Oryzias latipes: one gene and its partners. The protein of the gene in region 3 purifies or fractionates together with the protein of the main gene of each other region. This does not show direct contact. Links are inferred from orthologs where the notes say so. Each region holds a gene or a part of one and is shown on either strand. Other genes may lie near its edges.

Evidence for each region.
Region 1: the proteins of fgfr1op (region 3) and cep78 purify together in Homo sapiens (affinity purification with mass spectrometry; 3 studies listed by BioGRID and IntAct, with this or other methods). This does not show direct contact. The link is inferred for Oryzias latipes from reciprocal best matches to the Homo sapiens genes CEP43 and CEP78.
Region 2: the proteins of fgfr1op (region 3) and cep350 purify together in Homo sapiens (affinity purification with mass spectrometry; 6 studies listed by BioGRID and IntAct, counting the BioPlex papers as one, with this or other methods). This does not show direct contact. The link is inferred for Oryzias latipes from reciprocal best matches to the Homo sapiens genes CEP43 and CEP350.

Annotation. Positions count from the first base shown.
Region 1 is NC_019867.2:7,056,222-7,059,060, reverse strand, and holds part of cep78 (centrosomal protein of 78 kDa), read right to left. Parts: intron 2,696-2,839; coding exon 2,631-2,695; intron 2,534-2,630; coding exon 2,440-2,533; intron 1,560-2,439; coding exon 1,442-1,559; intron 1,319-1,441; coding exon 1,276-1,318; intron 1,148-1,275; coding exon 998-1,147; intron 480-997; coding exon 402-479; intron 276-401; coding exon 94-275; intron 1-93. UniProt on the Homo sapiens protein: Centriole wall protein that localizes to mature centrioles and regulates centriole and cilia biogenesis. Involved in centrosome duplication: required for efficient PLK4 centrosomal localization and PLK4-induced overduplication of centrioles.
Region 2 is NC_019862.2:32,109,051-32,113,136, reverse strand, and holds the start of cep350 (centrosome-associated protein 350), read right to left. Parts: upstream 2,901-4,086; 5' UTR 2,558-2,900; intron 273-2,557; 5' UTR 260-272; coding exon 184-259; intron 80-183; coding exon 36-79; intron 1-35. UniProt on the Homo sapiens protein: Plays an essential role in centriole growth by stabilizing a procentriolar seed composed of at least, SASS6 and CPAP. Required for anchoring microtubules to the centrosomes and for the integrity of the microtubule network.
Region 3 is NC_019882.2:22,955,090-22,959,447, forward strand, and holds the start of fgfr1op (FGFR1 oncogene partner), read left to right. Parts: upstream 1-1,543; 5' UTR 1,544-1,613; coding exon 1,614-1,697; intron 1,698-3,550; coding exon 3,551-3,604; intron 3,605-3,675; coding exon 3,676-3,730; intron 3,731-4,358. UniProt on the Homo sapiens protein: Required for anchoring microtubules to the centrosomes. Required for ciliation.

The DNA of each region.
Region 1 (2,839 bases), on a different chromosome or scaffold from region 3:
GCCAAAAGTAAAGAAAACTGTGACACCAGAAGTGAACAGATTTACCCAAGCTACATGTCATTTATGGATAAAACAAAACAGGTGGCGTCTCACCCAGCATCTTTAAGGAGATCCAGGAAAGCATGGAACTTAGTGAACGAGTTCTCAATGCTTTGAAGGACCGCCTCATCTTCAAAAGCGCTGAAAGCAGACGGTGCTGATGCTGAGCGAGCGGCTGTAAGGGCTTCTGTCAGGGAGCGGTTGGCATCACGAAGGCGAGCACTCTCCAACTCAAACTGTCCGGAAAGAAGAGGACAGTGTAGCAAGGGGAGCATTATCACCTCAATACGTCTGACTTACTGTACATTTTTGAGTTTCTTTTTTGTTATAACTAATGAAGAAGCAGAAATACAAAAAATGACCTCCAATAGTCTTGACTCAGCCTTCAGCCTGGCCCTGCGTTCCTCTGCCAGCCTGAGACGATACTCTTTCAGCTCCATCTAGGGGATGGACACCATACCACAATCAGCTGAAGACTAAAAAGCCAACAATTTACCCCCAAAATCCTGTTTTTGAGATAAAACTAAAGGTTTCAACAGGGATCAGCTGACTGAGGAAGTGGAGTGTCCCCAATGAACTCTGACCCTTAATCCCTAACTCTCCCCAATCACCCCGTGTCTCTAAAGCACAGACACAAATGCACGCACATTTCAAGAATAAATGTTTATATTCTGCATTTATTAAGCCTTAGTCATATATATTTCAATATTTACACATACTTCTAATAAAACCCAAACTCTACTTAGCTTTTAAATAAACCTGCTCAGTGTTTATAGTAAATAATTTACCACATTCAAATTACAAAGTATAATCTGAACTAAACATTTTCACACTGTAAATATCTGCACTTTCCACCTTTATTCATCTGTCAAACAATAATTACTCTTACTTCCATCTAATATAACAGGAGTATCAAATCATTTTTGGAGCAACAGTATGTAAGTGTGATTGGACCAACCTGGAGGCGCTCAAACTGTCGTTCAGTGTTTCTGTCCCGGAAATAAAAAGATGTTCTCTGATCCGGTTCCGCCGCCACTTCCTCCTGTTCATCATCATTGCCCTCTTCTTCTGAATCGGCCTCCACCGTGATTTTTACAGTAGCTGCAGCCTAATGAAACATTAAAACAGCATAATAAACACCAGGACTCGCAGCCTCTTGAATGCTTAATATTTCATTGTTTTGGAAAATGTTTTGACATTTTTCTGTTCCCTTTTATGTAAAGAAAAGAAAAATACCTGAAAACTGTGGTCTGTTACTGTTACTCCAGGAGGCAGACCTCTGAAAAAAAGGCATTACCCATCTTGAAGCCTTCACATGACTAATGCATCCAAACGGTGCTTTAAATAAGTAAACTTTCATTTAATTGTTCTGGTTGGTTCACTTGAGAGTTTGACATCTCACCTCTGACGCCCGGCTCGGGCAGCAGCCCGCCATGGGATAGAGCAGGAGCGGGAATTCTTGATTCTTGTCCTAGATTCACCCGAACATCGACCTCCGGGAGATGTGCCTTTAGCAGTGACTGGAGCAGGAAAGAAAAGAAAGCAAGAGTTTTTGTAGCTGTAAATACAGAGATAAGATACTTTAAATAGACAAAAACATGAAGTTCCCTTCAGAGGGTGGACAGATTTTGGCACACAGATTGTTGACAATTATAAAAAAAACAAAACAACTTTATAAATAAACTTTTAAAGAAAAAAACTATTAAAAAAATAAGCAACCCTGTTTTTCTTTATATTTGTACCAGTGAGCAATAAAAAGATAAGAACAACTTCAAGTTAGCTGATATTTAATCCTTTAAAAAGTCTTTAATTTTTTTAAAATAAATCTAAAGCCTAATTTTGTCTTGACTTCTGCAAAAACTTTCTTCATTCCATAGCAGTTCATCTGAATTCTATGAATTTTTTTAGCTACATTAGTCAGAAAAGATCATACAGTAAACATATTCTCTTCTCGTCTTTAAGTTCTCAGGAGATGACAAAAGACATTACACAGACAAGTTGATGTAAGGAACCGTTTGCAGAACAAACTGTTCAATCACAGGAATTGGAAATAGCAAAACCTTTGATTTACCTGACAAAAATAAACGCCACTTTGTAATTAAAAATGAAACTTTGACTCGCCCACATAAACAGAATATAACGCAGATCATGACAAATGGATCTGCTCTCGTGTTTGACTTAACAGTCAACTAAAATGGGTCCATGAAATTAAACAAACAGCTGTTTGAGACTTCCTCCCTCAAACTTAAGTGGGCCTGTTAGAGGTTCTATCTCCTTTGCAGTTGTCTCCTATTGTGGTAACCACACCCCTAACCTTTTGACTCCTCTGAAGCCTCAAACCAATCCCTCTTTCGCTCTGGACAGACTGCAGGAGGATTCAAAAGGAGGGAATGTTTATACCTTTTTTAAACAAAGTTTTTTCTCTGACTGAGTGAAGTTTGCTTAGTGAAGAAACTCTCTGCGATTCTGTAGCAGCCGGCTTGATCCAGTGGTACTGCAACAAAATAAAATATTAAAAGCTATGGCTTAAGTCTATATATAAAATAACATATGGATGCATTTTAAAAAATACATTACTTCCAGAAACTAACCTCCAGTGGTTGCCCGTCTGCATTCATTTCTACTTTCTCTATCACCGTTTTCATCAAAGCTTTATCTGTGGAGAAATGATGCCTTAAAACATCCCCAAAATCCTAATTTTTACAGAGTAATTATGCAATCATAAAAATAATTGATCACATCTTGAGGCTTTTATAAATGAGTAGTTAAATGCAAACTAACAGCGTATGTAAGCGGTGAT
Region 2 (4,086 bases), on a different chromosome or scaffold from region 3:
CATATTTAAACACAAATCTGTTCCTGTGTACTCACACCAGCTTTGGACTGAGCCAAACCTCTCCATGCAGTTGTTAATTCTGATTTTAAAAAATCACAAACGAAGTGAGAATTATTTTAAGAGTTTAAATTAAAACAAACAAATTTAAAATATGGGGGTTAAGTGCATTTTTAATACCCCTACCTGTGGTGATATTGTTATCAGTAAACAGCTGAGTTAAGCTTTTCGGAGGCCCATCAGTCTTCCTGCCCCTCCTCATTTCTCCCTTTCACCTGTAACCAGTATTAAGGTAAACAATGTGACAACAAATGTGTACATTTTTTGTGTTAGTATACCTTATGTTCAATAGTTCACAGTACAAAAGGATGTTATGCAAAAGCAAACAGTTGACCCACATTGAAGAAAACTGCAACAAGCCCTTTAAGCCAATGCCAAAATTATTTAAATAACAACAACAACATGATTTGGATGTGAATGCTTAGCATCGGTCAAAGTCTCTCATGCAGGGTCATTTGAGTACATACAATGTAACAGGTGTTAATCTGTGGCATTACACACATGACAAATATGTAAGCGTGTTACCAAGGAAGCATTCAAAACTGGTTCCACTGCAGAACATTCTTCTCATTGAAGCACAAGTTACACAGCAGACAATGTTTAAAGCACCAGTGAAGCTCGTCATATGCCACTGTTATCTGTAAACTGCTTTTACAGAGTCCAAAAGATATCAGTTCAACTCCTTTTATGTGTGTATCGAGCCCCATACCTGATAAAAAGATTTAAGATATAAATTTGCATGTTCAAAATGGAGTTTTTTTCACACCATTCTGTATTTAAACCCCTTGTGTTGTGGGCATTCATTTCAGACACCGGTAGCTGTTCTTTCTTGCTTTGTTCTTTGGAGAAACTGGACTTTTAAGGCAATTTAAAAGACATCGCACATCCAAGTAGCTTCTTCAAGAAGCTATCCCTGTGATAACACGTTTATGACTGAGAATCTCTACAGACACATTTCAGACTCCATGTGTGCTTTTATCCAAGTGCACACACGGCTCTGGAAGAAAAAGCATTTACAAAATAGAAACAAGAAACAAGCTTCAGGACGAAGCCAGGTCTCTACATTCCATCATTTTATCACTCTTTTTATCATGGTGTGTCTGTGTGTGTGGGTGGGTGGTGGGGGGTTCGTCACTGTTTGTCTTGTCATCTTGTTTTTTAAATTTTATTGTATTTTATGCACAGCACTTTGAGTGACATGTGTTGTTGTAAAAGTGCTATATAAATAAAGGCTGATTTGATTTGATTGAAGTCTTTTTCAAAGTTGGCGATCTGAACTCAACACTGACTTTTTTTTTATCATCCACTCTAACAAAGAGTGCAGACAGTAAATCAGCAACTTCTACATAAAGCATTACAAATCTGTTTGTAAACTCAAAACAGAAGAAAATCCAGAAGTAATTGTGCAATTAGAGAGAAAAAGGTACTGGTATGTATTTCTAAACTATCTGTAGATTAAGGAAGTTTCCCCAAGAAGGAAGGTATTCTAATAGTTGATTAGCATGGCTCATGAGAAATGTTCAAAACACTTCCATAGTTTGGAAATTACCTTAGTAGACTCGTAAGAGAAAACATACCATCAGTTTCCTATTATGGTAAATGTCAAACATTTGATTTAGTAAATATTGCATTTACAAGCAAAAATAGTCTAAAAGAAAACAAAACAACCACGTTAAGATTATGAAAGTTTAAAGTATTTAAAAACAAGGTTTTGATGCCGATTAGTGGACAAAAGCACTTCACTGTATTTGAACTGTGAGCGATTTTAAACCAAAAACGTGTAGATCTTTTCTTCGCTACTGTTGTAAGTTGCTATCACGCAGCATCCTAGGCTCACTGCTGCCACCTATGGACAAATTATGTAATTGCTATATAAAAAACTGTATTTTGGATTTACTTTACCATTAAATATTTAAATAAATCATGTAAAGTGTTTCAAGTACCGACATACACCTCGTAATAAAAGTAATTATATTCAGTTTGTTCAATTATACATTATATTTCATGTAACACAAACATCTCGAAACACTTTACCTTTCGATAAGCACCAAAATCTGAATGGCATAACAACTGAATTATCGTTCAAAAAAAGCTGATGATATGTGTTAAACTAAAGCACACCCCCACAGCGTAAAGACAGATTATAAAGATACAAATCGTATGGCAGTATCAAAAATGTTCGGGAAGAACCGGGGGGGAAAAAAGCTAAAGTTGTCACCGAAATGCCGGCTTAACACTTAAATCAACTGTCACTGAGTGGGGGGAAAGTGTTAAATATTTAGGTTTTATTAGACATTTTGTCTTCAAACCAAGACCAACAGTATGTTCTATCAAATCGTTAAATAAAAAATATAAATAAAAACAGCTGACTTCAATGTTAAATATTTCAGAAATGTCTCCGGTCCGGGGATTAGTCGTAGCCGCCAACTCCTCAAAGTTCATGCTTACGTTAGCTGACAGGACAATCATACATTTTGCTAAGCAAGAAAGAAATACCTACCTTAGGGCAACGATGTCGTGTGTCTAGAAGTCCAGTTTGTCGCCGATGTCCTCATGTTAAGAACTTCTTTGCACTTCCTCAGTTTCGCCGTTATCTGTTTGCTAACGTTAGCATTAGCCAGCTGACATTAGCAATAAAGCTTACCAACAGCTGTGCCAAATAAACTACAAGTTTCTCCAAATGAGAAATTTAGAAATACTCTGGCGCTTTCAGTGCTAAAAGATGCCGAATTTGAGAGGCATATGTATTTCAAAGAGTCACCCAGAGCTGCCTTTGAAGTCTCCCTCCCCGGGTTACTATGTTGATGTTTCCCAACAGCACAACTGTAGTATCTAGGACAGGAACATCACTGAGCCCAAAGTATCGCGAGAGTTGGACCGGATCGAGAACCACACTTCCGCATACATGTCCGAAACGATGTAGGCACAACAGCGCAGCAAACCCAATAACCCACCGTTAAAATACACTTTTAAATATTTTCAGCGTGATTACTGGTTCGTATCATATTACAAAATAGTATTATTTTCCCACATGATAGAAATAATAATAATTAGTATCATTATATTTTGTTGTTGAGAGTCTTTCTTTAATTTTCACCGTTTTCATGTTGGTAATAAATAAATTAATAATAATAAAGCAGATCAATAACAATCTAAATAAAGGGTCATACTTTTTCAATACAAACTATGTTATTCCAGGTAGACCATGGTGATATTTAATTAATATTAAAGAAAACCCTAAATTATTAGTTTGGAGAAGAGATTTAAACTATGAAATATGATACTAAAGTAACAGTTTTTACTCCAACAAGAGGATATGTTTTGCAAAGTTTTCCAATGCATTGTGAGTTTGGGTGGATAATACAATAACATGGTCCCAAGTTATCTCTTTTTTATTTTCTTATTTAATGTAGGACCAAAGATATACCCTTTGTAAAAATTAATCTATGCAGTTGTTCAACAAGTATAATTTGTCTATAGATACTAAGAGTGAGAAGGTATACTTGAAGTTTACTTTTCATTTATGATGTAAACTTCAAATGTTCCAATTTAGTCTGAATAAGTATTCAGTTAGTATTCTTCTTATACTACACATGCATTGTCCATAGTAGTTTTACTATTATTAATTATTCTTAATCTATTTATTATTTTGTCTCCTGTATTTTTCAAATTGCCTTGTGCTGTTTTTTTGATTGTTTTTATTTCTTTTTTTTACTCACCGTTGTCCTGTGCATTGCTGCTTTTGAAACCACCCACAATTTAAATCCTGCTGGCATTTACAGTAAATTCTATTCAATTGATTCAATTCTATTCTATACTATTCTACTGTTCTAAAAATTGATTTTAAATGTACTACATTTTGCTAAGTGTTTCCATGTATTACTGTATGTGTTTATGATATGAAACTATGGTGAAAAGGGTTGGAAAAAGCGCTCATAGAAAATTATGTTCGGATTATTATGTTAACTTTATGAAAATTCACACATAATTACTTTAATTGATGACTATGAGGCATGAACTTAAAAACAA
Region 3 (4,358 bases):
TAATAAACTCATCCACAGACAAAAAATGTACCAATAGTTTCATTGGACAAACTCTCACAGAAAATCTCTTGCTAGGCAAAATTAACAGGAATGACCTACTTTAGAAATGTAATATAACTTCAGTAGAGAATTGAGAACATTATATCTTTAACTTTCAATCCAACCTAAAACTAAAGAGACACACTTCATGAATGACATTTATCCATGTCAAGACACATGAAAGAAAGGTTTCCTTTCCTCCTAGTTTACCAAACATCACTATCAATAATTTACATTTATGTCAGAGATAAAGCACGACGACAAAATGGTCAAAGATGAAAGTATTTCCTCTGCTTTGAAAACAATATGGTTCTACTTCAAGGAATTTTCATTTATATTTTTTATTAGAACTTCAAAAGATCACATAAATTTTCACATGGATAGAACAGAAAGAAATACAAATGTAGACAATAATAAAATACAACATAATAAAATAAAATTAGAATTGAGCCTAGTACAAATGTCATAATATAATATTAAATTATGGATTGTTATACAGCATGTTATCTATCATGAAAATGGATAGTTTTCTTGCATTTTTGTTTATCATAAATGTCAGTGATTGAAAATATAATATCTCTTTATGAAATGTATTAAATAATAGTTTTATTGCTAAGAATCTGCTTTTATTAATGAAAAAATTACCAGATATTAATAGTGTTTTAAATGCCAAATTAAATAATTTATCACCAGAATTTACTCCAAATAATACGATGTGTTTTTGTAGCTGAATAAGAATAGGAAAAGGAGACTTTGAACAGCACCAACAAAAAAACTCCCCAAAACTGTTATAACATAACATATACAGTATACATTCAAAAACAGATGATCAAGTGTTTCTATATTGATCTCATAAAAATAACAGTTATTTTCTGGAAAACCAAAGCGTAGTTCATGGTTATTAAATGGATTTCTTTGTATTTTGCAAAAATCTGATATTTAATAAATTTAGATCTAAACTTGCACATTTCCTCTTATGTGAAATGATGAAACAGTTCTCTAACAAAGACTGTTTAATGAGTTTGAAAGTTTTGAATAAAGCGATTGACCATCAAACAACAGAGATGGAAGCTGAACTTGAACATCATGAACCAGACTGGAGGACATTTGGACCAAAGTCTGAGGGATTGCTTTGATCACATTGTTATATTGTTTTTCTATAATTTAATTTAAACTTACAGGAAACACTTTTAAATTAAATAATGTTTCCATTATAATTCATGATGTGTGATAATGACCAAATACCGTTATCAATCCAATTTTTGTAAAATATTGATTTGTTATCCCATAAAATCTACCAACAGTTACATATGGGAGAGTTGTGTTTAAATATGAGTTTCCTGATGATAAGTACAAGTTTAACAGAAAGATTTCTGTAGTCAAAAATCACATTTTAGCATGAACTCATTACCCCCTAAATGAGAGATCAACTTGACGGTGTCTGGAGGCTCCAGCTCCTCCAGGGCGACAGGGGGCGCTCTTAGTTTAACGCAGAAGGAGAAGAAGAAGAAAAGGAGGAAGAAGAGACACACACACACACCTGCGGTTTTCTGTTAGCATAGCTTCAGGTGAACATGTCTGCTGCGGAAGATGACACGGAATTGCGGGACCTGGTGATCCAGAACTTGGAGAATAGTGGAGTCCTGAACAAGATGAAGGTGCGCGGATCAAATCCAAACAGAACGGTTGTCTGGTTCGTCAGCGCTCTCTGCCGGGCTGAACGTTACGTTGGCTTTATGCACAAATCCTAATTTACGCATGCACAAAGCAAGAAGAATATGCATACACACAAATCCTAATTTACGCACAAATCAAGAATTACGCACGCACAAATCCGACTGAGTCTAATTTCTCTCCATACAAGGCCATCTAGTGCCCTGAAATTTAAAAGCAGTTTGGACACCATGATGCTCGCTATGTTAATATAAAAGATTTTCATAATCATTTACTGTTAAACCTGAAGGTCACTTTACTTCTGCTTGAATTTTACTTTTGCTATTTATTAAGTCTTTTTTTGCTGCTGCAGACAAAATAATTTCCCCATCGTGGGATAAAGTCTTAACTTATCTAATTACTTCTTCTTCTTTTTTTTTCAAACAGCGAAGTAAAAATCTCATTGATAGGAGTGTTTTGCGACGATCATTTATGAATCCACTGAGTTCTGAAAATGAAAACGTTGATGGTTTATTAAAAAAATACATTTAAATGCAATTTTTTCGCAAAAATTGTTCAAGCGCAATGTATTGTGGTCTTTATTTGCCAATCTAGTGAGCATCGAATGGACACTGGTTTTGTTCAGAGATTTCTGGGAAATTTCTTAGGCACTTGATTTTGGAATAGTAGATTTGGACAGCACATCAGAATGGTGAACACACTATATAGTGCGTATTGAAGGAATTTGGACAAAGCCTAAAATTCCAAAATCCACTGCTCTGGAAATTTCCCACAAATTTCTGCAAAGAACTAGTGTTCATCTATGTTAACAAGGATGGCAAAAATAGACCACTGTCAGGAGTCTTCCTGGATGCTGCACACCTGACTCTTATTCATTCAATCAACCACAGCAAACTTAAGCTCCGCACTGAGTGAAGCTCAGTGCAAAGTATAGTTCCTGCCTTCATTACTGTGCGTTATATCTGGACTTGATCTTATGTCTTCTGACCCTGACTCTGTTTGCCTGCCGCCTGCCCCGACCCTCGCCTAGATTTTGACCACCCTGTCTCTCCACTGATGATCTTATGCCTGTTATCAACTCCTGCCTGCTTGACCCTGATTTAGCTTTGTGGACTTTTAGCTGAGCTAATAAAGCTGCTGCACTTGGATCCAGCCGTCGGCCTGTTCTTGTCACAGACCACAATGCGTTGTGTTTGCACAGTTTGTCATTTGAAAAAGGTTATGTAAATTTAACGTATGGATTCATACGTTGTCTTTGTTAAATATTCAAATCTATTAGGTTTTTACTTCTGCAAACTGATGTTATAGGTGTTGTTTTAAAAAAGAAAAAAGTGACTCTGAATTGCATCAAAATCTAGATACTGGATGGTCCTGCACTTTGTAATCATTTAGGGTTAGGGAGAAGTGAGAGAATGCAGACATAGTCCATGCCTGCTGGAAAAATGTTCTTTGGACAGATGAGACTAAGTGATGAAGAGAAGACCTGCTCAGCTTCAACCAAGTACAGCATTCAAAGAAAAGATCCTTATAACAACTGTGCAGCACAGAGGTGGAAGTGTCATAGTTTTGGGATGCTTTGCTACTGCAGGACCTGGCCACCTCACCATCAAAAAATCTGTCATAAATGTTACCGTGTGTCAGGTTAAAAATTAAATGGATGGATAGATAGATACTGAATGACTTTATTGCCCCTCCTCCTTCTGCTGTACTGACTTTGTTTCAAACATTTGGTTAGAACTGAAGCTGCACTTTGAATTTAAAGAACTGTCAAAAGGAATGTTGATGGATTGGAGATGAAGGGCGGCTCTCATGCTGCTGCTTGTCTTTGCTCCTGCAGGCGGAGATGAGGGCTGCAGTGTTTCTGGCCATGGAGGACCAAGATAGACTGGAGGTGGGCCTTGGTCCTGAGTGGACTCTCCACTCTTGGCTCCTCTCTCACCTGCTTTTCCTTTTCGTCTTCAGAACAAAGTCCCGCTCGTCAATGAAAGCCTAAAGAAGTGTCTGAACAGCAGAGACGGTGAGTTTTGATGCTGTGGGCTCTGAGTGCTGGCTGCTCTAAGCCAACAAGAGGAATGGAATCAGTATGAACTCATCATGAAAAAGTTGGATAGAGCAGGGTCACATAAACCCACTTTGATTATTGTGAAAGGTACAACAGTTTAGGAGGGGGAAAAAAGTTTGTTGTCCTCAGTGCCGTCGTTTAATAATGTCGAGCCTCTGGTAGCCCAAATAATCTGTCATAATCAGAGGAGCACACGATCAAAAACCTGATCTGATTAAAAAAAAACTGGCTAATCATTCATCACACTGAGGCAGAGAGAGAGTAGGTTACTGATGTGAAAGAGGGGCGGGGAATGGCCATGCCTCTCTGCTGCTGCCCGTTGTCTCCTCTCTCCCCCTAGCAGCTACTCACCGGGTCCAGCTCTGGTCTTTAGAGTCAAATCAGGATCATCTTAAAGTGAATGAAAAACCAGATTGAACATTATGGAAAAATATTTAAAGACTCATCCCTCCTCTGGTGTCGGCATAGAGCCGACCAAAAAAACAAGGGTTTTCCATATTTTCCGGTCTTCTGCAAGAAGTATCCTTCAGTATCCTTCATATCAACCCCATGAGGTTTAACATCTCCTACAATGACGTCTGTC